6 linked regions of the Oryzias latipes genome follow. The protein of the gene in region 1 binds, or shares a complex with, the protein of each later gene. Links are inferred from orthologs where the notes say so. Each region holds a gene or a part of one and is shown in the gene's direction. Other genes may lie near its edges.

Region 1 (4,217 bases):
CTCCAAGCCCCACAATGACAGTGACACGTGCCGGACCTATTTTTCCCATTCATTTATCATTATTATTATTTATTTGTATTTTTTTTACTGGGATGGCTAAACTGGGTTGCATTGTCTTAGAAAATCTTGATAAAGACTAGGTGGTTAAAATGGTAAATGCACAGGTTCTAAAAATTCTAATGCTCAGTTGAAGTTTTTCAATAAATTTAATTAAATTGTACACACAAAGTGAGTCTTTTTATAGCTATTTCTCCTTTTTTTTCTCCATTTTGGCTGCAGATTTTACAGAAATTGGGTATCAGTGGCAATTAAAATCGTTTTTTAGAATGAAAATGTTCCATCACTAATTTAAAAAAAATGTATGAATTTGAAACATCCAAAATGCTCAATAATCCAAGCTTTCAACAACAACAAAAAACATATTTTGAAGTTGAAATATATTACTACTGTAATTCTGAATGATCAATTAATATTTTGTATGTCAATTCAAAAATCACGTTATTGATTTTTATTTTCCAATTTATAAATATTTATTTCATATAGGCTTACCCTTAAAAAGATCTTTCATTGGTTGACTGTTCTGATTACAAATATTGTGTTTAATTGAAAATTGAATGGAAATGGCAATGTATTCTACAGTTAGGGGCACTGAGAAAGTCAAGAGAGCTGGATGTGTTAGGGATGAAGATGTTGAGGTTCTCTTTAGGAGTGATGAAGATGGATGATCGTGGATAAATCCATCAAAGGAACAACTCATGTAGGATCATTTGGAGATAAATGCAGGGAAGCCAGATTGTGAATGTGTAGATGTATTCAGCATCCTTTCAAGGATGCTGATGTTAGAGCTGGCAGGAATGAGGCTTAAGGGCAGATCAAGAGGAGGTCCACAGAAATAATGGAGAGTAGTTGGTGTGTTAGTCTTGGTAGAATAGAGGTGGGTGATTTAGCCTACTGAAGCAACCCCTGAAAAAATTAAATGAGAATAAAGGGTAAAGCTGGTCCTGATCGTAAATTAAAAATACCCTGAACCAGTATGTGAGTGTTAGTCCACATTTGGAAAAAGCATAGCTTGATGGATTTGAACATCCATCAGTAATGTATATATCTCGGGGCAAAGGTAGCCAATGGTATTCCACGAGTGGCCATATCGGATTTCCTAGCCTACCCCCTTCGCTGCACCCCTCCACAAACACCATTAAAAACGTTTTTCAGAAAAGGTTATAAGTTCTTATATATTAATCTTTGATTTAAAAAAATGATATACCCTGGTTAATTATAGGGGCATGCTTAGCTAATCAATATGATCCATATAAAGGCCTCAGATGGGGAAAAAGATCACAGTGGATCATAGAATGCTGCACCAGCTTGTTGTGCAAACTCTAAACGTCAAACACATGCGTTCTGAAGATGACGCCATCATTACGCGACCAGTTACAATTTTGCTAAATCGTAAATTCACCGGCGTGCTCCGGTTCTCGTGCATTTCAATGTCTGTATGCGCTCAACGCTACAGCTTAATTCATTTATATTAAAGGTTTAAGGTAAATTAGCTACAATTGAGCACCGACATTACAAAATAAATAAAATTTCACCAACGTCCGTTACGACTTAGACAAACTCAACTTGGTTCGGATGTGACGAGGTTAATATCGAGCGTACCCTTTAAATATATTTTAGCGGCTTTCTCTCTGAGAGCCAGCTAGCTACTGCTTGCATGTTGCTTTCCATGCTAAATGAAATACTTAATCTATTCCGAATAAAAACAAACCCACGCGGTTTTTAATCTTCTGTGACAAATTGCCACGAGGGGAAATATGAACAGTAGGCTGCAAGAGATCCGCGAGAGGCAAAAACTAAGGCGGCAACTGTTAGCCCAACAGGCAAGTACACACAGAGTCGCTGTTGTTATAGCAAACAGCTACAGTCAGCTAACATAATCATAGTTTAAGTCGAAGAAACACACTTTCTATATTTGTATCCACTCTGAATCACTCTTCTAATAGTGTTTACATCTCCATAATGGTTAATTATGAGTTAGCTACGCATTTGGCATTGCTTGCTTGCATTGTTGTCCTCAAAAACAGTCTGATTCTTCAATATACTCCCACAGTTGGGGGCAGAAAGCGCTGACAGCATTGGAGCTGTCCTTCACAGCAAGGATGAATTAAAGGAGATCGAGGAAACCAGAGAAACTTGCAGGTAGCACAACATTCATCCACGGAAAATACAAAACCCCAATAATATTTGTATGGAGCCGGTTAGAGAAACATAGTCTGTAGCTAATGGCTAATCAGTCAGAAACTATGCTATGTGACTAGTTTGTTAGAATCCAGATGTAGTTCTGGATAAAAATCACTTTCTCCATCCCTTAAAGTTGTGCATTGATCTTTGTGCATGCTGATGCAGGGATGTTGAAACAAATCATAAATATTTGTGTTGTGCAGGGCTTCATATGACAGCCTGCTCCCCTCTTCCAAAAGGAAGCAGCCGACAGAAGGAGAGGACACAGAGGAGGATGTGGAGGAACAGAAAGTGAGCACTACGTTTTCTGACTGTTACCACTACTGCGAACCTGCACATGCATAGAACGTCTGCTCTCCAGCTTAGGTCTATAGTTCTTAATTCAGTCATGTTTACTTTGTTTATTCATTTTTTTATATATAGCAAGTGTACATACATACATACAGTACAGACCAAAAGTTTGGACAGATCTTCTCATTCAAAGAGTTTTCTTTATTGTCATGACTATGAAAATTGTAGATTCAAACTGAAGGCATCACAACTATGAATTAACACATGTGGAATTATATACAGTGAGGTCAATAAGTATTTGATCACCCTGTGATTTATCAAGTTCTCCCACTAAGAAAAGATGGAGGGGTCTAAAATCTTCATCATGGGTGCATTTCCACAGTGAGAGACAGAATCTGAGGAAATATTCAGAAATCACGTTGTACAATTTTTTTAAACAATTTATTTGTATATTACTGTGACAAATAAGTATTTGATCACTTGAGTTAAACAACTTTAATATTTGGTACAGAAGCCTTTGTTAACAATTACAGAGGTTAAACGGTTCTTGTAGTTCTTCACTAGGTTTCTACACACTGCAGCAGGGATTTTGGCCCACTCCTCCATACAGATCTTCTCTAGATCTGTCAGGGTTCGGGGCTGTTGCTGAGACACACGGCGTTTCAGCTCCCTCCAAAGATTCTCTATTGGATTTAGGTCTGGAGACTGGCTAAGCCACTCCAGAACCTTGATATGCTTCTTACGGAGCCACTCCTTGGTTTTCTTGGCTGTGTGCTTCGGGTCATTGTCCTGCTGAAAGACCCAGCCACGACCCATCTTCAACGCTCTGACTGAGGTAAGGAGGTTTTTGCCCAATATATCACAATACAGAGCCACGTTCATCCTCTCCTTAATACAGTGCAGTCGTCCTGTCCCCTCTGCAGAAAAACACCCCCAGAGCATGATGCTTCCACCCCCGTGCTTCACTGTAGGTATGGTGTTCTTGGGATGATGCTCCTCCTTCTTCCTCCTCCAAACACGCCGAATGGAGTTAAGATCAATAAAGTTTTATTTTGGTCTCATCTGACCACAAGACTTTTTCCCATGACTCCTCTGGCTCATCAAGATGGTCATTGGCAAACTTCAGACGGGCCTTGACATGGGCTGACTTCAGCAGGGGAACCTTCCGTGCGATACATGATTTTAAACCATGACGTTTTAATGTATTACTTATAGTAGCCTTGGAAACGGTGGTCCCAGCTCTCTTCGGGTCATTGACCAGCTCCTCCCCTTTAGTCCTGGGCTGATTCTTCACCTTCCTTAGCATCATCGATACCCCATGAGGTGAGATCTTGCAAGGGGCCTCAGTCCGAGGGACATTGTCAGTCATCATTAGCCTCTTCCATTTTCTGACAATTGCTCCAACAGTTGTTCTTTTCTCACCAAGCTGCTTGGCAATTGCCCCATAGCCATTTCCAGCTTTGTGAAGGTCTACAATTTTGTCTCGTTTCTTTTGACAGCTCTTTGGTTTTGCCCATGTTGGTAGTTAGACTTCTGACTGATTGTGGGGGGCACAGGTGCCTTTATGGAAGCTAACCACCTCAAACAGGTGCCAATAATTTAGAATTATGAGCAGAGTGGAGTTGGACTATTTAAAAGCAGAACAGCAGGTCTTTGCTGGTCAGAAAATCTGATAATCAAGTGAT
Region 2 (3,995 bases), on another chromosome or scaffold:
AAAAATGAATAAAAATTTTAAATCATACTTCCAGTTTCACTACTTTCTGGACACTTGCAAAGAGGCTTCCGATTTAGAAAATAAATCATATGGAACATGTCCATGTGTTTTTGTTTGTATCTTTTAATATTCAGTTAATATGTTGATATTTGGGTCATTCCAGAACTGGAGGACATTTGGGCTGCAAAATTCATGAAGAGCAAACTTTGACTTTTCTAATTCTCTGCTATATAATCGTCAATAAAAGGTAATATCTGTCAAAGGCTTGATTAACTTTGCTTACAGATCAACTGCGAAATATTTATGACATTATATTGATGATGACAAGACTTGATGCAACCTTGTTATCAATTTTTGCAAGTAACAGGGTTGCAAACATGTATTAATATTGACTTTCTCTCAGGAGTAGACGCTAGTTGTTTAGCTGTCACTGAGTACCAATAAGAAAATTAATGTGATTTCAATGGCATGCCTTTTTGCATTTCTGACCACCCCAGAATGAATGGTGATATCTTGTTTTTCTCAGTTGCTACTTTACATGCTAATTTGATTGCTTACTTACTCATAAAAAAGCAACAACAATAACAATAATTGTCTTACTCTGATTATAGGGAAACAGGGTTGCATGAGGCGGAGTGAGACATTCAATCTAGGATAACTATGTGTTAAAAATAAAAGATCCACGTAACTTTTGCTCTACCCATTCTTTTTGAATACTGTTTGATGATGTCAAGTCCAGCATATCACTCTTTGCTATATTCTAACCCTCTTACCTGTTATGGTAAAAGGAATTGTGTGGATTCGGTGGGAAACACATTGTATTGATCATAAATAATATTTGAAATACTTCTTTTATTTAAAAAAATCCCACGGTTACATAAAACACCAATCAAAACAAGATATACCAAAAACTGAATCTAAAATTTAATTTTAACTGCTTTTATTGAAGATTTAATTTGGACAATGGGGGACGGGACAAGAAAAAATGCATTTTAGGGGGTACATTGAGCTTATTTGGCATTTTTTAAATTATTTTCAGTAATTATTTTCACTTAGTTTTGCATGTGGATTATTTAAAATAGGTTTATTCTGAAATGACCCATTTTTTAATCCATCGCTGTGTGCGTGATTGACGGGATTTTAAAAGGTTTTAACCAATCGCCGCCCCCCAAACACCGGCCAATCAGCGCATGGAGGCGGGTCTTCTCACAAATCTTAACAAAATGGCGACTGTTGTTGTTTTGCCGCAGGGTCGGTAAATAAATTCTTTGAACGTATTGGATATTTTCTACATTATTTTGTGGAAGGAGTGCAGGAAAAAGCCAGTTACCACAAAGAGTTTACTCTTCGTGGGCTGCAATGAAAGGAAAGGAGCGGTCGCCGATTAAAAAACGGTCCCGGGCCTTGGACGACATTCGAGAGAGGGGAGGATGCCACCCGACCAGCAAGAAAATGGGGGCTCTCTCCGTTTCCAGTGGGAGTAATAATGGAAACAGTTCGTCCAAAAGCGACAGCGGCTCAACGAGACGGAGCTTGTTGGGTGAGAAAAGGGACAGAGATTTTGAGGGCCATAGTCGGACTGGAAATAATCACAGCTGTCAGTCTGCTGCTTCCAGCTCCGTGGGTAAAAACCACAACCTGAGCCTGTCGCTAGACCTAGCCTCCCCGCGAGCCTCTTCGCGCGCGGAGCAGCGTGTTCCGCCGCCCAGCACCGAGAGTGAGTACAAAACACTCAAAATCAGCGACCTTGGGAATCAGCTGAGCGAGGAGGATATAGAAGATGGGCTTTTTCATGAATTCAAAAAGTTTGGCGACGTGAGCGTCAAAATTAGTCGCAGCAACGACGAACGGATTGCTTTCGTTAACTTCAGGAAGCCGGAGGACGCCAGGGCTGCTAAACACGCCAGAGGCCGGCTCGTGCTCTACGACCGGCCGCTGAAGATCGAGGCCGTTTACACGAGCAGGAGGAGAAGCCGCTCCCCCGTGGAGAGGGACTTGTACAGCGCAGCACAAAGTCACAGACACTTGCAGAGACCCCTGTCGCCCACCGGCCTGGGTTACAGAGACTACCGGCTGCAGCAGCTGGCTTTGGGACGGCTCCCTCCTCCCCCTCCGCCCCCTCTGCCCAGAGAACTGGACCGGGACAGAGAGTTCGCCCTGTTTGAAGCCAGGGCACGTCCAGCTTTCCTTGCAGAGCGAGCAGCTTTTCGTGAAGAGGATTTAATATCTCCGGAAGACGACCAAAGAGCAAACAGGACTTTGTTTTTAGGCAACTTGGACATAAACATTGCAGAAGCAGACCTCAGGCGGGCTTTCGACAGGTTTGGAGTCATAACAGAGGTGGACATCAAGAGACCATCACGAGGACAGACCAGCACATATGGATTTCTTAAGTTTGAGAACCTTGACATGGCTCATCGTGCTAAGCTTAGCATGTCTGGAAAAATAGTGGGTCGCAACCCTATAAAAATCGGTTACGGAAAAGCAACACCCACGACCCGTTTGTGGGTCGGTGGACTTGGACCGTGGGTTCCTTTAGCTGCCCTGGCCAGAGAATTTGATCGCTTTGGCACTATAAGGACCATTGACTACAGAAAAGGTGACACTTGGGCCTACATCCAGTATGAAAGTTTAGATGCTGCTCAAGCAGCATGGACACACATGAGAGGCTTTCCGCTGGGAGGCCCAGAGAGAAGACTTCGGGTGGATTTCGCAGACACTGAGCACCGGTACCAGCAGCAGTTCTTGCAGCCTCTCCCTATTCCACCGTTTGACATGGTGGCTGACTCGTTTGTCCACCGCGCCACGCCTGAACCTCTGAGAGTCAGAGATCGGACTCCACCTCCACTTCACTTCAGGGACAGAGAACTCTTTCCAGCAACGGAGTGGCCCAACCCGGCCATTCGTGAGCGGGTCCGGGGATCCCCCTTTGAGCCTCTGGAACATTTGGAACGCGACCGGAGAACTCGAGAGCCTTGGTCTTTGGAGCGTGAGCTGCAAGGGCGAGAACCAGGACGTAAGAGACGCTTATTGGAGGATGGCCGTCACCTAGATCACTCTCCTGACAGCACTGAGAGGACAGTGAGACGTAGACGTTCTTCTCCAGATGGCAGTCCTGGGGGCAGCAGCAGAGACGGAGGACGTTTCAGTGACTCTGAGCATCCTGTGCACAGTGAAACGGCCTCACCAGCCAGAGAACATGTCATTAGCCTTGAAAGAGGTGGGGCGGATCGAAGGGTTAAAAGCCAGAGTCTTTCTGAGAAAGGACTCTCATCTGCTGGTGAGCGGAAACGCAAAGCGGGCGACAGTGGCAAAGTGCCTGCCAAGAGAGAACGCTCTGAAAGCAGCTCTAAAGGAGCCCAGCAATCCAAACCTGATGGCACCAAACTCATTGTGGCATGGCGCGGAATGCTGCTCCTGAAGAACAGCAACTTTCCAGCCAGCATGCATCTCCTAGAAGGTGACTACGGCGTCGCCAGCGACCTGCTCATCGACGGCTCAACCGGAAGGCAGGTGAGCGAGCTAAAGATCACGCAGCGTCTCCGTCTGGACCAGCCAAAGCTTGATGAGGTGTCTCGGCGCATCAAAGTCGCCGGTCCAGGCGGCTACGCCATCCTGTTGGCAGTTCCTGGAAGCACAGAGGACTCCTCTTCATCTGATCCTATGGCCTCAACCCAGCGGCCCCTTCGCAACCTGGTGTCCTACCTCAACCAAAAACAAGCAGCTGGGGTCATCAGTCTGCCTGTGGGAGGGAGCAGAGATAAAGACAACACAGGGGTTCTTCATGCTTTCCCCCCCTGTGATTTCTCTCAGCAATTCCTGGATTCCTCTGCAAAAGCTCTGGCAAAAAGCGAAGAAGACTATCTGGTCATGATTGTGGTTCGTGGAGCATCTTAAAAAAAAAAAAAGAGAAAAAGTCACAATGCACTATGTTCAAGTGGAATATAAGAAAAAACAAGTCTGCTGTTTGTCAGTAATTATTGCATGCTGTGTTC
Region 3 (4,076 bases), on another chromosome or scaffold:
CAACTGAGAAGGGGGAGAAAAGGCAAAAAACTCAACATCGTTGTGGCAAATAACCTTTTTTTAGCTTGTGATTTTAGCTCAACAAGCCAGTGACATTTACCAACCAATTAAAGTAAGAAATAGAAAACATGAACGAATTTGTACATGCAATAATACTTAAACGCTTACACTATACTAAGAGTTGTTTTCGTTGTACGTCACAAGTTTTTAACTAAGCAGCTAAACCAGATTAGCATTGAAGTTAGCTAACAGTTAGCACAACAAAGCAAACAGTTTTCCACGCTGCTGATACAAGTATTTTCTTTTAGTTTTTGAACTTTACATAAAAATATAACGTAGACACATCTTACCTGCGCATTTGCCAGACTTTGCAAAGCATGTTTGCTTAAAGGTTAGAGAGCCAAGAAAAGTGAAAACAAGGCGGTATTACTGCCCTTGAAATGGGCAATTTCAACTTGACAGCGGAGTCGACCGTACCATTATCAGAATATGGGGATGTTATCGAAAATGGCTTAAATTCATATAAGCTTGAAAGGCAATATATACTATTTTTATATATATTTATAAGATAATAATTATATTTTCGGCAATTCAATTGCAACCAACGTCATCTTTTAAATTTTGAGATTTATTTCTCGGTCTTACCACTTTTCCTTAGCCCTGTCTTTTGGTAGATACCGAAGATTTATTGTAACATGGGGCCACATGTGTGCGAAAAAAATTTTTTTAAGCCCTTTTCGTTTATTGTACTCAAAATTTAATCATATTAAACTATACAATATTTGTAAGGTTGAAAATTTGTAACAACTTTGCGTCACGATTAAAAAATAACTATGTAACCATTGGAATCACGTGGTCTTTGCGTCACTGTGTTGAAATGGATACCAAAGATCGTCTATATCTACAACGAACCACTCTACATAATTTAAATGCGATCTGTTGTGATTGTAAATTTTGTGATCAAAGTAAATCCAGTTTTTTGGTTTGCAATGCAAAAAAGATGAAAAGACGCGTAAGGTTATGTCACATCAGCAAGGAAATAAATTAATTTCCCTTTCTTAGTCATTACAACATTTGAGAATAGTATTGGGTCAACAGCTTTGGATCGTTTTCTTTAGATAAACTAATAATGTAATACATCGCAAACCCAGAAACATTCAAGGAAAAACACAGAACTAAATGCAGTTTTAAATCTTAAAACATTTGATCACAACCATTTTGATTGTCCGGAATTTTAGGATCGGAAAATGTGAGCGTAGTGAGCAGACTTTTCTCTCCTGTCCACTGCTGGTATTACTCCGCAGAAACTCAAGTGCAGTGCAGCACCTCATCCTCCAGAGCCGTCCTGTTCTTCTCTCGGTAAAGGGGATGATTCTGAACACTTAAAGACGAGGCCACAACTTTTAATCAACCACCACTCTTTACGCATTTAAAAACAGTTACAGAGAATCTGTAAACCTCGAAGGTTTTTCGAAACATTGAAGCGAACGGGCCCGGTGAGTGTTATGATCGCGTAGGCCGCGTGACTGCAGCTAAGAGCCCGCTAGTTTCAGGAAAAGAAGCGCAGGGGTGGGAGTCATTTCCTTCACCGCCATTTTGTTATAACAAGAAGCCGAACATAGCTAAGTAATTATACACTTGATGCTTAGATAAACGACACGTTGAAAGATAACATCGCAGGTCTCTAAAATGTGTTTACGTCGCCGAAATGCTAAACGATTATTAGCAGTGAGGGGTTAACCTTGAGTACTTTTTAAAGGAAACCCTCCGCCGCTGACTGCAACAGTCGTTAGTAGTACTCGGCACGACATACCCTATTATCGGGTTATGTTCACTTTAGTTTCGCGGGTTTGTTGAATATAGCAATGGCAGTTCACTGTTGACACTTCAGTTTTGTCGGGAAGGCCCGTTTATAATAATTTTTGAGGGCGTCTGTGATCAAACGTGACGTCTAATATTTAACTGCGTGACGGCCAGCGCGAGGACAGGATGCCCAACAAAAAAAATAACACGTTTTCTGCTTATTTTCATTCCTAGAGAGCACAATGACCAACGAAGAACCTCTGCCCAAGAAGGTGAGTCTGATCCAGATTAAAACTACTCTTTAAGGGTGCTGTTGGTTGGTAATGGATGTCTAAGCAGCTTTTTGTTTATTCTATTTTTATTTTATTTTACAGGTTCGCCTCACTGAATCTGATTTGAAGACCTTGACCAGAGAGGAGCTGTGTACACGGTAAACAACAGCCCCTGTCCCCTCCTGTCTTCTGATGATGTTGAGCTGTTTACATGGATCTCATTCTCCTCAGGTGGAAGCAGCATGAATCATATGTCCAGGTCTTGGAGACTAAATATGCAGAGCTGTGTTGTAAGTTCACTTAAAAAATAGATCTAGCCCGTTGCATCGCAGAGTGTCGGCTGATGAGTTTGTTTCTCTTCCCTCCCATCATCCACCCCCCTCAGCCAACGACGTCCCGGGCCTGAAGGAGTCTGAGGAAAAGCTAAAGCAGCAGCAGCAGGAGTCGGCTCGGAGGGAAAACATCCTGGTCATGCGACTTGCCACCAAGGAGCAGGAGATGCAGGAGTGCACAGTAAGTCTCTCGCTCAGGTTTTTAATATGCAACACTAAAAAGATGAGTTGTTCTAAAGTTGCAGCACCTGGAAGAAATATTTAATGCTTTCTGTATCGTTACAGTATAATTTCTAAACATTTTTCTGCCTTTATTAGATAGAAAGTTTGAAGATAAAATGTTAAAAGCATAAGAATCACTAAAAAAACTTGACAAACCTGAAAGCATCTGTCTTTAGGGGATAAAAACACCAAAATATTAGATTCTTTTTAATTAATATTTCTTTTCAAATTGCCTACAAGGTGGGGGTTGTTTTTTATTTTGGAGTCTATCAATTTACCAAGACACATGTTAAGGATTTATAAATTGCATGAAAGGGAATGTGTGTTAATGAGAACACATCTTGGTTTGTAATCATTCTAGATGAGAACAAGTTGTGGTGGTTTGCAAGCTTTTACATCCAAATATTTAAAGTATTTTCTTTCTTATCACTTTTTAGATGTGGATACTGAATCGCCTGTTTGCTATTTTAAAACGACACTAGAGTGAAAGCAGCTTTTACTTAAAGCCTCGGATGAAAATTGTGTTTTTGACATGTTCTTGTGGGGTTTTTCTAATGGAAGAGGACATATTTAAAGACAGTTAGGCTTAAAGTTGCATTTCTAAGTATTTCTTTATTCAAATCATGAATCAGGAGTGGTTGGTAAAATTCTGCTACATAGGAAAATAGACTGATCTCTGATCTGCTGCATTCTGATCCATCCACTTGTAGGCAGATCCACGTGCGTCTTTGTTTTCCTCGCCTGAGCTGGCATCAGGCTCAGAACTCGTCTGGAAGGCTCCAGTATTGCTCACGATTTTTGTTGCGCTGGTAATGTTAGGTTGAGTCTGTGAAGGGCTGTAAGCTAGCAGGAGAGAGCGATAACAAATGGGTGGAGAAGCAGAGGCAAATTTCTAACGAACAACTGCCTTTCTGCAGAAAATATGTCCTTTAAAATAAAGATATTTTTTACATAATTTTTTTCTACAATTACTTTGTTTTTATATTCTATTTCCTTTTAAGATTACAATGCTATTGTAACACACAAATTTCCCATGTGTGGGATCAATAAAGTGATTCTGATTCTAAAAACAACATAAGCGTAATTACAAGACCACTGGGAAAGTTTTTAAAATCACTCAAAAGAGGATCGAAGTGGGACTTAAAACTAAGCGTCTAGACGCAGATTAGCCTAGATTTTGATCTATTTGAAAGCAGTTTTGTTACATTTTTAAAGGGAAGATGTTTAGGTGTTAAAAGCAGCTTCATAATGTGTGTGACTGGACTCTAACACCTGCCTGTTGCCTCCTACAGACACAGATCCAGTACCTGAAGCAAGTCCAGCAGCCGAGTGCAGCCCAGCTGCGGTCGTCCATGGTGGATCCAGCCATCAACTTGTTTTTCCTCAAAATGAAGGCTGAACTGGAACAGACTAAAGACAAACTGGAGCAGGCCCAAAATGAACTGAG
Region 4 (4,277 bases), on another chromosome or scaffold:
ATTTGGGAGTTTTTTTTCTCTTACTTTGCCCTTTTGTATGAAAAATTTAGGTAGGAGAAGCAACAAATTAATAACGTTTTCTACCATTTTATCACCAAAGTTAAAATGTGTAGAATTTGTTTGAAATGTATTAGTTTACTTTGTTTCTTTAAATTGTTCTAAACGGATCCAGAAGTGAAAGGATGTACAACAGTAGAAAAGGTGATGAACTGATTTAAGTAAAACTACAGTTATTTTCTATCTATCTTTAGAATTTAGAAATGAACATATTTGTGGGGTAAATGTTATTTGAAATTCTTTTATGTATTTCTTTAACTTTATTGTTTATTCAAAATGTATCTGGCAGTAACCATGCTTTTTTTCCAATTGATATAATTTAAAATATGGTTCCAATAAATTTCTCCTTTAGGTGTTATGCTTCTTTTTTCGCTAAAAGTATTATGTGTTTGTTGTTGCAATTTTTTGATTGAAAATATCAATACCATTAAGTGTTAAAGGAGGGTGTATTTCAGATTCCTCGTGATATTTAAGGTTAGAAGTCAGTAGTTGAATTACTCCTGAGACAAGAGCTTTCATTACACTCTTGAATTCTTTGCTTGTTACTGGAAAACACATTTTATTGAAGAACCTGTCATAATCGATGGCTGCCATTCTCATCAAAAAGATCAAATTTTTGATGGTTATATCATCATTGTTCCAAGTTATACTTTTGTTTGGTGAGAAATAATGTGCATAGCATAACGTCCAGGCACGACAAAACTTGCAGATACAAATTTTAAAGATTGACAGGAGTCTTTCTGATATTTACATTTAAAAAGAAATTGAAGACCCCCGATTTTATTATAAAATATTAAATGGGATAAAGTACCAAATTGATTTTGAGTCTTAAAGGCCTTTTTGAATCCAGTAACCATTAAATGTATAATTCAAATCTGAGAAATGTAGGAGTTCATAACCTCCTTTGCATGAGGGGGCATAAAATAGTTCTTTCTGAAGATAGTGACGTCTATTTTTCCATACAAAGTTAACTAAGAGGTTGTTTATTTCTTTGGAAGTTGAACAGAAGTAAAGATAAGGATAGATTAGGAGAAATTTCTCTTGAGATACCTTTCGCTTTAGCCAAGAGGATCCCGCCAAAAATAGATAGATCTATTTGAAGCCACATATTCATGACATCTTGCATTTTTTCTAATTCTCAAGGAGAAGTTTTGTGTTTGTCTAGATTTTCTGTCCATTGTTATACTGGTGCCTAAATATGTAACTACATTTTTAACAGGGATACCATGTTTTTCTTTAACCATTTTAACCTTTGTGCTATCCTAGGCACTTTAACATTGGGAGTTGGGTCATCTAGACCCACTAGACAGTGCTCTGAACCTTTTTTCTTCAATGATTTGTGATCTTCACTGGTGTCCATGGATTACATGAAATCTTTCCACCTTTATCCACCTTTGTCATGGTAGGAAGAACACGTCAATGCAAGGGTGGGGTCATAGGTTAGCACGAGGGTTAACTTTTTAATAATATTTGACATTTAACTAAACTAAGACGTAATCTCTATTGACGTAATCCAGAAGCGTTTGAAAAATAATTAATTATACTTGTATCAAGGTCAATGTGGTTTCTGTCTATTAAGAATAATGCAGTATCATCTGCTTGCTGTGTTATTTTGATTTCCTTTGAAAAATGGATAAACCTAATAAACAAGGACAATTTGGTATGCAGGAGTTTTCAAATCAAAACGTGCAACGTGCTTGCGTCACTACAGGCTCCGCCCTCCTTTGGGAACGCGCACATTCCTATTGTCCAAGATGGCGGCGCTGGTGCAGCTCTTGTGATGCTGACATGTTTTTAAAGGCTTCTCCTCTTTTCCCCGTAAATGTGTGACCACTCGGAGCCCGCTCTGGAAGCGCCCCCTAACCGAAGCAGCCTGCGCCGCCGCCGTCTCCGAGCTAACGCTCCCGGAATCCGCAGCAGCGCCGGATCTCCGCTGCAGGCTCGGAAAAAAAGTTGAAACTCTCCATCATTATTGGAAAATGAAGCGGCAGGCCGTGAGAGACGGCAGCCCATCCAGGGCCCTAGCCAAGCGGATTCGAGAGAGAGAACGGGAGAGCGCCCGCAGAGAGGAGCTGCCGCCGCCGCCGCCGCTGGCTCTGCTGCTGGCGGAGAGCCGGAGCTACCACCGGCGGAGCCGCAGCAGGGAGCGGGAGAAGCCGCGCCTTCGGGAGGAGCGCGCGGCCGCGCTGGAGCTCCACCACCGACACGAGCTCAGCCTCCTGGGCCGGCCGCCGCTGCGGGCCGCGGAGCTCCCCGCCGCGAGACCCGGCACGCTGGAGTACAAAACGCTGCTCATCAGCAACCTGGGCTCGCAGGTGTCGGACGAGGACGTCGAGGACGCGCTGTTCCACGAATTCAAAAAGTTCGGGGACGTGAGCGTGAAGCTGTCGCACACGCCGGAGCTCGGCCGCATCGCCTACGTCAATTTCAGACAGCCGGAGGACGCCAAGGAGGCCCGGCACGCCAAGTCCTCCCGGCTGGCTCTGGGTGATAGACAGCTCAAAATAGAGCCCATGTACGTTAGGAGGCGGAGCGTCACCCCCCCGGACGTCAGCTATCTACCTTTACACGCCCCCTATCCGTACAGACAGCGCTCCTTGTCCCCACCCGGGACCGGCGTGAGCAGCATGCGGGACCTCCGGGCCAGACACTTTGCGCTGGAGAGCCTGGGTCTGAGCAGAGACCGGGAAAGGCTGCTGGACTATTATGGTATGCTGGATGAGAGGGGGCGGCCCTACGCGTTCCCCCCCATGCCTGTAGTGGAGGACCTGAAGCCCGAGGATGACCAGAGGGCCACCAGCAACCTGTTCATCGGAAACCTGGACGGGAATGTGACGGAGGCTGAACTCAGGAGAGGGTTTGATAAATACGGCATCATTGAGGACGTGGTCATCAAACGGCCAGCACGCGGCCAGGGCGGGGCTTATGCCTTTGTAAAGTTTCAGAACCTTGACATGGCCCACAGGGCCAAAGTGGCCATGCAGGGCCGTCTTATTGGTGGAAACCCAATTAAAATCGGATACGGCAAAGCCAACCCCACCACCCGACTGTGGGTGGGCGGTCTGGGACCAGGAAACTCGCTGACCGCTCTGGCGCGGGAATTTGACCGCTTTGGAAGCATTAGGAACATTGACTATGTGAAGGGCGACAGCTTTGCTTACATCCAGTATGAAAGTTTGGATGCAGCCCAGGCCGCCTGTACCCAGATGAGGGGCTTTCCTCTGGGCGGGCCAGAGCGCCGCCTCAGGGTGGACTTTGCTAAAGTGGAGGAGAGCCCCTCCCGCCCATTTCCCCCTGGTTACCAGCTTCCTGTGCCTCCCCCCACGCATTATGACCTCCTTGGAGAGGCCTACAGTCGCCATCGCAGCCTGGAGCGCGAGCTGAGAGGAACCAGGGAGCGCTCCTCACCGCCCTCCCACAGCCTCCTCTCTTTGAGAGAGAGGGTCCTGCTGGAGAGAGAGTTTCCCAGCAGCCCCACCCGAAGCCTGGACAGGAGGGTGGGAGGAGTGGAGGCGTTTGGAAGAGCTGGCCGAGGGGCGAGGAGCCGCAGCAGGAGCAGGGAACGCTGGCTGAAGGAGAGGGAGGAGAGGAGGAGCCGCAGGAGAAGCAGAAGTCTGTCTGTCGACAAGCAGTCGGAGGAAAAGGAGAAAGAAAAGGGAAGGTCGAGGGTTCGAGTTCCGGGAGGCACCGCCTCCCCTGATGCAAGCCCAGACCGAGCACGGGTTCGAGCCCCGGACTCCACCACTGAGCCAAGAGACCACTCCCCTGACAGTGGTGGAGGGGGGCGACACGCAAATGCCACAGAGGAAGAGCCCCCATCCAGCCGTCACCACAGCAAGAGGTCCGCGAGCGTCAACAACCACCATCGAAACAGCGACGTGGCCGCCGCCAGCCCCCCCGCTGCCCACACGGACACCTCGTCCACCCTGAGCTCGCTGTCGGAGTACGCCCAGGGCTCCCTCACCAAGGTGTGGCAGGGCTTCTTTGCCTTGAAGAACAGCAGCTTCCCCACGGAGCTGTACATGCTGGAGGGAGGGGCCTCCTTCCTGAGCGGCGTTTTGAAGGACAGCCTGAATCTGCAGAACCGGAACCAGCCAAGCCAGTTGAAAATTGCCCAGCGCCTGCGCATGGACCAGACCCGGCTGGACGAGGTGTCGCGCCGCATCAAGCTCGGCCGCCCTGACGGCTTTGCCATCCTGCTGGCTCTGCAGGGCGCCATC
Region 5 (4,208 bases), on another chromosome or scaffold:
CTCCTCTTTATCAGTCGGTTGTGGCGAGTGCTGTCTTCCATGGGGTTGTCTGCTGGGGTGGCAGTATGACCACGAGGGATTGCACTCGATTGGACAAACTGATTAAGAGATGTGCATCTGTGATCGGGAGGAGGGTGGACTCTCTGGGATCTGTGCTCCAGAAGAGAATGAGGGCTTTGACTCAGAGCATCCTGGACAATCCCAGACATCCTTTGCACAACACGATGTCAGGTCAGAGGAGCACACGGAGTAATAGACTCCTTTCACTGCGCTGCAGGACAGAGCGCTTTAAGAACTTATTTGTCCCTACAGCTATCAGGCTGTTTAATGAACCTGCCTGATATGAACTGATATTATTTTGTGAACTGTCTTTTTACTGTTGTTTGTTGTGTGTGGTTGTGTGTTTTGCTACCGGACACCTGAATTTCTCCTTTGGGAGATTAATAAAGTTTATATCTATCTATCTATCTATCTATCTATCTATCTATCTATCTATCTATCTATCTATCTATCTATCTATCTATCTATCTATCTATCTATCTATCTATCTATCTATCTATCTATCTATCTATCTATCTATCTATCTATCTATCTATCTATCTATCTATCTATCTATCTATCTATCTATCTATCTATCTATCTATCTATCTATCTATCTATCTATCTATCTATCTATCTATCTATCTATCTATCTATAAGCTGCATGTTTTTTAAATGTTTTTCTACATTTGACCTCAAAGTCCAGGCCCTGGGGGTGGTTGGGTGTCCTGCATGTTTTCCAACTAGCCTGGCATTGCAGTTTCTTTTGGGCGAAGTACACCTGTTCCAGATGTTAACAACCCTGCTTGCTAAGGGTTTATAAAACCCAGCATTTAGTATGTACAGGGAATGGGTTTGCTTCAGTTAAATTGTGAGGGTTATTTGTTGTTACTTCATAGCAGTTTATTTAATCTTACAAGTAAAAATACTAAAGTGAGATATTTCTATAGCAGTTTTTGTTTGATCGTCAGTAAATTTGGATGGTCACAATCACGCTTGGTTTTAAAAAGCCTCATGTTTTCTCAAAACCTTTTGAAAGTTCACTCTGATGGATCATATGTTGAATTAAATAGTATACAATAGTAACAGTCAGTGGAATTAAATTCTCTTTAGATGTGTACTTCACAAAGTTTAGAGGAATACCGCACTACTGATGAAAAAAGTAACAAATACTAGTAAAAAATAAAATATACTGAATAAAAACAATGATCATAAAACAATGAACAGGTCAAAAGCATATAAGAATAGGATAACATGGTTTAGACATAATTGAGGGAATGGTTTATACCAGTTGAGAAGCAAACATAAAAGATGGAGACATGCTGCTCTTAAACCAGCTGTGGAGCACTTTTAAACATTTAAACTTTTAAAATCCTATCTTGTTCACTTGTTTCCTTTCCTTATCTTTCACTTCCTAGTTCTTTTTTTATCCCAACATGCATTGCGCTCGCTAGATGGATCATGGACCAAAGCGGTAAGCAAAAAATGCTTAGTTTGGCCTACCGTAGCTATGTTCTTTCTTCCTTTCTATTTCACACACTTTACTGCAGCACCATAGTCTCTGTTTTAGCAGCTGTTTGGGTGGTCAAAAGCGCTGTTTTCTGTTCATTTTTACTTTGAACCTCGTTCGATACCGTTAAAGCTAGCATGAAATAAGCTAGCTCAGAAATGTTCGGGGGTAAAAAAAAAACGCACGTTAGTCCGTGAAAGCTGAAATGTTTTCTTTTATCTGGTTAGCAGGTTGTTGCACCATAGACGTATTTGGGGCTTGACTTCTATCATTAGCTATCCGTTTTTTAAACGGAAGTTATTGTAAAAGTAGTGACTGAGTTGGTGAACCGATGCTCGAGTGTGTTAGCCTGTGCTACTGCCAGCGGCTGCGGCGGCTAAACTTTTCAAAGAGTCCGTGGTTCAGTTAAGCACATTTGCGTCCTATATAGCTTTTTTTATTTTGGTTGTTCGGTGATTTGGGGCTGAATTAATCTAAGTTTGTAGCACCAATAACTTGATTAAAAAGGAAAGCTAACTTTGAAGTTTTACGAATATTACATGAATTTGTCAAAAATAAATCCTAGTCAGATGGAAAGGGCAGTGTTTTTATCACGTGATCTGATCGTCTTCATGAAGGGCACATTTGAAACTGGCTATGTAGCATTAATGAAGCACAAATTACTCAAAAGGGAACTGAATAACTGAATCACAGAGGCTTACGAATGTAGGGTAAAATGTTTTTGTTTGTTTGTTTTTCAAAATTAAAGGGCCCATATCATGCAAATCAACTTGATGAGCTTTTAAGTGTATTATAATGTTCATTCCTCACAAAACAACCCCAAGGCGGTGTTTTGATCCACTCACACATCTCTGGGTCCTCAAAGCCCCTCCCAATCCATGTAAAACGCGTGGGTCCTCACATCACAAAGTGAGAACAGCCCCTTCCAGGAAGAGTCTGTGCTGCCAGCACCGCCCCCAGGCTAACACACACGGCCACACAAGCTAGCAGGGATCAGCTAAACGTTTTCATTTTCTATGCATGATATTCACATCCATCTTTGCAAAAGTTTGGATGTTTGTTTCTGTGGGTGAAACGTGTGACGTCATGAAATGGGCAGCACCAACAAGAAGAGAAAGGTGGGCCTCAGAGATCAAGTCATCTTACTTTCGGCTTGGAAAATGAGCTGCGAAAATAACTCCTATTTAATTTAAAAAATGGTTCTTTAGTGTGCCAAAGGTAATACATTTTTATATATAAATATAGTTTACTCTGGAAGCATAGCAAGATATAGGGCTTTTAAAATCCTTTCCATTTTGTCTGGGGTTTTTTGTGTAAGGATATCTGCCAGTTAGGTTTAGAAATTAAATTACTAAAGTTTGTCCACAAATTAAGATTTTAAATGTGAAATAGAACAATACACACAGGAAGCAGAAGGATAAAAATCACCAAAAACACAATATCCCGCTTTATTTCAGTATTCCAACTCTGCTAGCAGCAGTTCTCAGTTGATTAATGGGACAGAACTTCTTAATTCTAAAGCATTTCTGCAATTCTTCATAAAGTCGCACCCTCTTATTTATTTCAACTTGTAAAAATAAAATTGAGCCAAAAATAAATGAATTAAATTCATGAAAACACAAAAGCAAAGCGTGCAAAGTTGATATTTGTGATATTCATATGTTGTGTTTTACTCTGTGATTTTCAAAACAAAATCGGCGATTTATGTTATTTATGCTTTTGTCAACAGACAACGATCTTCAAGGAAGCGATTGCTCTGGGACCTTGGGTGGCCTGGATGTTCGGAGGCGAATCCCCATCAAATTAATTTCTAAACAGCCATTAAGGACTAAACCTCAGCTGCGCCTGCCGAGACCTGTTGGTAACAGACCCTGTAAAAGTGAACCTGGAGACGATGGTAGGCATCGGGCACAGTTCAACCTGCATTTTTACCCTTTTTTTTTTTAGCACAGAGTAGTAGTACCACTTAATTGTGGTTTTCTGTGTCGAAACTGAGCTGCTTTCAGTGTTGCCTTTTTTGATCCGATAATATCATGGTAAATGGTAAATACTTATACTTGTATAATGCTTTTCTTTGAAGGCCCAAAGCGCTTTAGTCAAGGCCCCATTCACACACATTCACACACTGGTGGTGGCTCTGATGCTGAACCTTCCACCAGTGTCTTGCCCAGGGACACTTCGATACATGGACGGGCCAAGGCGGGAATCGAACCCGTAATCTTCTGCTCGGAGGTCGACCTCCCTACCACTGCCCAACAGCCGCCCTAATGAGGCTGCTCTCTTGTGACTTGACCTGACTTACATTGCTTGCATGTCAATCTTGATGTGTTTATCCTACAATAATCTATCATATCTTTAAATAACTTTATAATTATTATTTAGTTTTAATCAATTTAACAATTTTTTAAAAAATGTTACCGCACTTTTCTGGGGTTGAGCTGAGGACTGCACCCTGTGGGTGTTGTGGGCTTTTTTAGCATCTTTGTGTTATTCTCTGGCTTTCTCAGAAAAGTTCGGCTTCAAGCAGGAGGATCGGTTTGACTGTGGCGCTAAAGCTGGGGATGTGTTTGGAAGTCAGAGAAGATTTCCGCAGCCTCTGTTATGGGACTGTAAGGTATGGTGGCTATAAAGACGGTTTCACTTTGCTGACAGTGTCATG
Region 6 (3,500 bases), on another chromosome or scaffold:
CCAAAGATTCACCTTCATCCAGAAGGTCCAGCTCCCCGAAGCACAAAAGTGGAACCAAAGGTGCCGGGTCCAGCAAGAAGGAGAAGAAAGCCTCTCTGACTTTGGCTGTTTCAGAAACTGCAAGGTATTTTGGAGCGACACGATTTAAATGGAAATCTACAGAAATGCTTCCAATGTCTCAATACGGACGTTTCCTGTCTTAAATCCTGCTGTGGGGATTTTTTTGTGTCGTATTTGGTCATTTTTGCACCTCAGTTTATCCGCCCACGTCTGTTTTTGTGTGGTCTAAGACGTTTTTGTGATCCATCAGGCCCTCCAAAGGCAGCCACAGTAAGAAGAAGGGCCCCCGCACGCCCAGCCCTCCCCCTCCTGTCCCGCTCGACCTCCCCGTCGTTGGGAAGAAGCACAAAGGGAAGCACAAGAACAAGGAGAAGACGGAAGAGAAGCAGAAGGAGGGAAAAGACCGCGGAAGAGATGTGGAGAAGCACAAAGAGAAAAAGGAAAAACGACGGTACAGTTCAGCCGTTTGAAGTGTTTTAGCTCGTTTAGCCGACTCTCATCAAACTGTTGCTTTTCCTTCTTCTCTGTTGATGCTACATTTTTTTAGGGACCGATCCGATAGTTCCCATAAGGCCAAACGAGTGCAGACGTCAGATGAGCGGTCCAGCAGCGTGTCGTCCCCCTCTAGAGGCGTGTCCCCCTCATCCAGGAAGAAATCCGTCTCCCCCAAAGTTTCCTCCCATAAGACTTTGTCCCTTTCGTCTCCTCGCCGCAGGTTTGCTTCATAACCGTGATGATCTTTTCTTTGTTTTAAACGCTATAACTGATGAGTTATATATATAAATATATATTTTTCCTCATCCCAGGTCTCCTTCCTCCTCCCGACACCAGCGTTCTCCCTCTCCCTCCCGCCACCACTCCCCCTCCTCCCACTCGGGGTCTTCTGCCCAGCGCCACTCTCCATCGCCTCGACGCCGCCGCTCGCCATCTCCGGTTTACCACCGGAGCTCCGCGGCGCACGCCTCCGTCTCCTCGCCCACGAGTTCCCGTCGCTCCCGGTCCCCACCAGCCTCCCATGACACCCCCCCATCTCACCGGCGTTCGGAGAGATCCACCCCGAGCCGGCACCACTCCAGGGGCAGAGAGAGGAGCCGGGGGGAAAGGGAGAGAACTCCACCCCCCCAGGAGCGCAGACATGAACACAGAGAAGGTATCTTTCGTTTTGTTTTTTCAGAAAATCGTTCTTATAGCTATCATTTTATGGGAAATTGATCAGATTTTTCTTTTATTTGTTTTTTTTTCAGATCGCGGCAAGCGGGACAAAGATGGCGTCCGTGAAGACAGAGACTACGACTCCGAGCTGATCGCAGCCCGAGAGGAAAGGGAGTCGAGGGACGCTCGTGACCGGCGCGATGTCCGCGATCGGGGGAGGGAACCGGTGCGAGAGTCCCGCGACAGTCGCGACAACAGGGACACGAAGGACTCCAGGGACAGCAGGGGGGACGGGCGCTCCAGTCGGGAGTCACTGGAACGGCGGGATCGAGAGCGGGAGCGAGAGAAGGAACGGGACAAGGAGAGGGAGAGGAACGACTCCTACAGGAAGGAGGATGCAGGTCAGGACGACAGACTCTACGCTAGAGGTCACGGACGCGATGACGGCGGCAGAAGCGAGGGTAGGACGGACCGAAATGGACGAGGAAGAGGCCGTCCAAATGAAACGGTTGACAAAGGTGAGACATGTTTGTGATGAAGTGTTGTTTTTTTTTTTGGTTCAGTCGTGGCTCCCGCTCTGAATATCCTCCGCTGTCGTCTTCTCAGGCTCACTCAGAAACTCCCGCAGTTCCCAAATGGACAGCAGCTACGACAACTGGGAGTCCCGGAGCAGCGCCGCGCGGGACCGAAGCCTGGAGAGAGGCGCAGACCGCAGCACGACCGAAAGAACCTCCGAGAGGGTTCCGGACCGGGATCGCTACGAGGGGGAGAGGCGGGAGCAGCCCCGAGACTCCTCCTACGACAGGAGGGGGGGCCACGGCGAGCGGGACCGCAGAGACACCCGGGACAGAGGTGAGACGACGGAGGACAATTTGTTTATTGGGGCCGCAAAAGCAGATTCCTGTTCACAAACCTAAAGACAACCTGATTTTAATCTATGATCAATTCTGCAACTCTCACCTGACAAGTCAAGATCCTAACAATCACTTTAATTAAACCTAACGTCCTTTATAAATTATTTTTATTTATTTACTTATGGGTAAACCAGAAAAGTCTTTTAAATAGACCTTTTTCTTAGAGATGGCAAAATAAAGGCTTGTTCCTCAGAAAAAATTAATTAACATTTGAAGAGTTCAACTTAATGTATGTTTTGTATTTCATAAAAAAACATTTTCTTTTTTTTATTTTATTTAAAGAAGGGTAAAACCTTTTTTATTGAGTTAGAGGGTGAACACAACGGCAAAAAGTGTGACGTTCTAATTTGTATTGATATTTTAAAGGAGGTAATTTATCGATAGAAATTAAAGATTTGTGTAAAATTTTTAGTTGTGAGTTTAAATCCAAGCTTTTTTATTTTATTATTTATCCTTCTCAAAATAATAAAATTTAAAAAAGTAGGAGTCTGCTGCTGGCCATCATGCAGAATGCAGCCTTACATTGACTTTCCTTTTTCTTTTTTCATCTTTAAATGTAATTATCCAGTTTGTATCATTTGTAACTTTACACGTTTCTCTTTTTCCTGCAGATCAAAGGGCCGTCTCTCCCTCCAGATATCCAGGCAGGTCGGAAGAGTCCGACCGGGACGATCGACGGACAGACCGGTCGGAGGACAGACGGGACGACCGGGCCCGAGAGCGGGAAAGAGAGAGGGAGAGGGAGAGAGAGAAGGAGAAGGAGCGAGAGAGGGAGAGAGAGAGGGAAAAGGAGCGGGAGAAGGAGAGGGAGGCAGAGAGGGAGCGAGCTCGGGAGCGAGAACGCGAGAGAGAGCGTGAGGAGAGGGAGAGGGAGCGAGAGAGGAAGGAGAGGGAGAGAGAGAGGGAGCAAAGGGAGCGAGAGAGGCAGCGGGAGTGGGAGGAACGGGAGAGGGGGAGGGAGGAGAGGCGGGAGAGGAGAGACGACGTCCGGGAGGATCGGTCCGTTCGAGACACCCGGGAGGATCGCAAGCTGAGGTATGTGTGGATGCCAGATCTCTGAAATGCAGCACGGAGTCACCATTTATGATAATTAGCAGAAAATTAGGAGAAAAATTGCTTTACATTGGACAAAGAAAAGATTATATATTTAAAAGGTGAACATTTCATGACAATAAAGGTGTAAAATTAAAGAGAGAGTCAAAGTTTATGAGAATAAAATTGTGAAGTTATAAGAAAAAGTCTAAATTTTTATAAAAGTACAATTATTTTTTAAAAAAAAGGACATTTTACGAAAACAAACAGACAAATATGAGAAAAGGTTACAAAATAAAGTTGTGATAAATAAATAGTCGTACAATTATAAGAAAAAAAGGC

Evidence for each region.
Region 2: mettl14 (region 1) and rbm15 share a complex: the UniProt entries of both Homo sapiens proteins name them as parts of the WMM complex. The link is inferred for Oryzias latipes from reciprocal best matches to the Homo sapiens genes METTL14 and RBM15.
Region 3: mettl14 (region 1) and wtap share a complex: the UniProt entries of both Homo sapiens proteins name them as parts of the WMM complex. The link is inferred for Oryzias latipes from reciprocal best matches to the Homo sapiens genes METTL14 and WTAP.
Region 4: mettl14 (region 1) and rbm15b share a complex: the UniProt entries of both Homo sapiens proteins name them as parts of the WMM complex. The link is inferred for Oryzias latipes from reciprocal best matches to the Homo sapiens genes METTL14 and RBM15B.
Region 5: mettl14 (region 1) and cbll1 share a complex: the UniProt entries of both Homo sapiens proteins name them as parts of the WMM complex. The link is inferred for Oryzias latipes from reciprocal best matches to the Homo sapiens genes METTL14 and CBLL1.
Region 6: mettl14 (region 1) and zinc finger CCCH domain-containing protein 13 share a complex: the UniProt entries of both Homo sapiens proteins name them as parts of the WMM complex. The link is inferred for Oryzias latipes from reciprocal best matches to the Homo sapiens genes METTL14 and ZC3H13.

What each region holds. Positions count from the first base shown.
Region 1 is NC_019859.2:14,173,343-14,177,559, forward strand, and holds the start of mettl14 (N6-adenosine-methyltransferase non-catalytic subunit), read left to right. Parts: upstream 1-1,417; 5' UTR 1,418-1,814; coding exon 1,815-1,880; intron 1,881-2,110; coding exon 2,111-2,199; intron 2,200-2,444; coding exon 2,445-2,532; intron 2,533-4,217. UniProt on the Homo sapiens protein: The METTL3-METTL14 heterodimer forms a N6-methyltransferase complex that methylates adenosine residues at the N(6) position of some mRNAs and regulates the circadian clock, differentiation of embryonic stem cells and cortical neurogenesis.
Region 2 is NC_019865.2:10,859,931-10,863,925, forward strand, and holds the start of rbm15 (putative RNA-binding protein 15), read left to right. Parts: upstream 1-1,195; 5' UTR 1,196-1,359; coding exon 1,360-3,897; 3' UTR 3,898-3,995. UniProt on the Homo sapiens protein: RNA-binding protein that acts as a key regulator of N6-methyladenosine (m6A) methylation of RNAs, thereby regulating different processes, such as hematopoietic cell homeostasis, alternative splicing of mRNAs and X chromosome inactivation mediated by Xist RNA.
Region 3 is NC_019882.2:7,325,451-7,329,526, reverse strand, and holds the start of wtap (pre-mRNA-splicing regulator WTAP), read left to right. Parts: upstream 1-1,276; 5' UTR 1,277-1,359; exon of another isoform or gene 1,360-1,496; intron 1,497-1,549; exon of another isoform or gene 1,550-1,626; intron 1,627-2,037; 5' UTR 2,038-2,045; coding exon 2,046-2,075; intron 2,076-2,177; coding exon 2,178-2,233; intron 2,234-2,306; coding exon 2,307-2,365; intron 2,366-2,460; coding exon 2,461-2,588; intron 2,589-3,921; coding exon 3,922-4,076. Other genes in the region: sod2 (superoxide dismutase [Mn], mitochondrial), read right to left, coding at 1-3, 351-379. UniProt on the Homo sapiens protein: Associated component of the WMM complex, a complex that mediates N6-methyladenosine (m6A) methylation of RNAs, a modification that plays a role in the efficiency of mRNA splicing and RNA processing.
Region 4 is NC_019863.2:6,227,229-6,231,505, forward strand, and holds the start of rbm15b (putative RNA-binding protein 15B), read left to right. Parts: upstream 1-1,477; 5' UTR 1,478-2,036; coding exon 2,037-4,277. UniProt on the Homo sapiens protein: RNA-binding protein that acts as a key regulator of N6-methyladenosine (m6A) methylation of RNAs, thereby regulating different processes, such as alternative splicing of mRNAs and X chromosome inactivation mediated by Xist RNA.
Region 5 is NC_019881.2:9,398,203-9,402,410, forward strand, and holds the start of cbll1 (E3 ubiquitin-protein ligase Hakai), read left to right. Parts: upstream 1-1,408; 5' UTR 1,409-1,500; coding exon 1,501-1,513; intron 1,514-3,278; coding exon 3,279-3,446; intron 3,447-4,056; coding exon 4,057-4,163; intron 4,164-4,208. UniProt on the Homo sapiens protein: E3 ubiquitin-protein ligase that mediates ubiquitination of several tyrosine-phosphorylated Src substrates, including CDH1, CTTN and DOK1. Targets CDH1 for endocytosis and degradation.
Region 6 is NC_019860.2:22,021,527-22,025,026, reverse strand, and holds part of zinc finger CCCH domain-containing protein 13, read left to right. Parts: coding exon 1-124; intron 125-310; coding exon 311-511; intron 512-607; coding exon 608-775; intron 776-866; coding exon 867-1,210; intron 1,211-1,304; coding exon 1,305-1,730; intron 1,731-1,818; coding exon 1,819-2,064; intron 2,065-2,737; coding exon 2,738-3,161; intron 3,162-3,500. UniProt on the Homo sapiens protein: Associated component of the WMM complex, a complex that mediates N6-methyladenosine (m6A) methylation of RNAs, a modification that plays a role in the efficiency of mRNA splicing and RNA processing.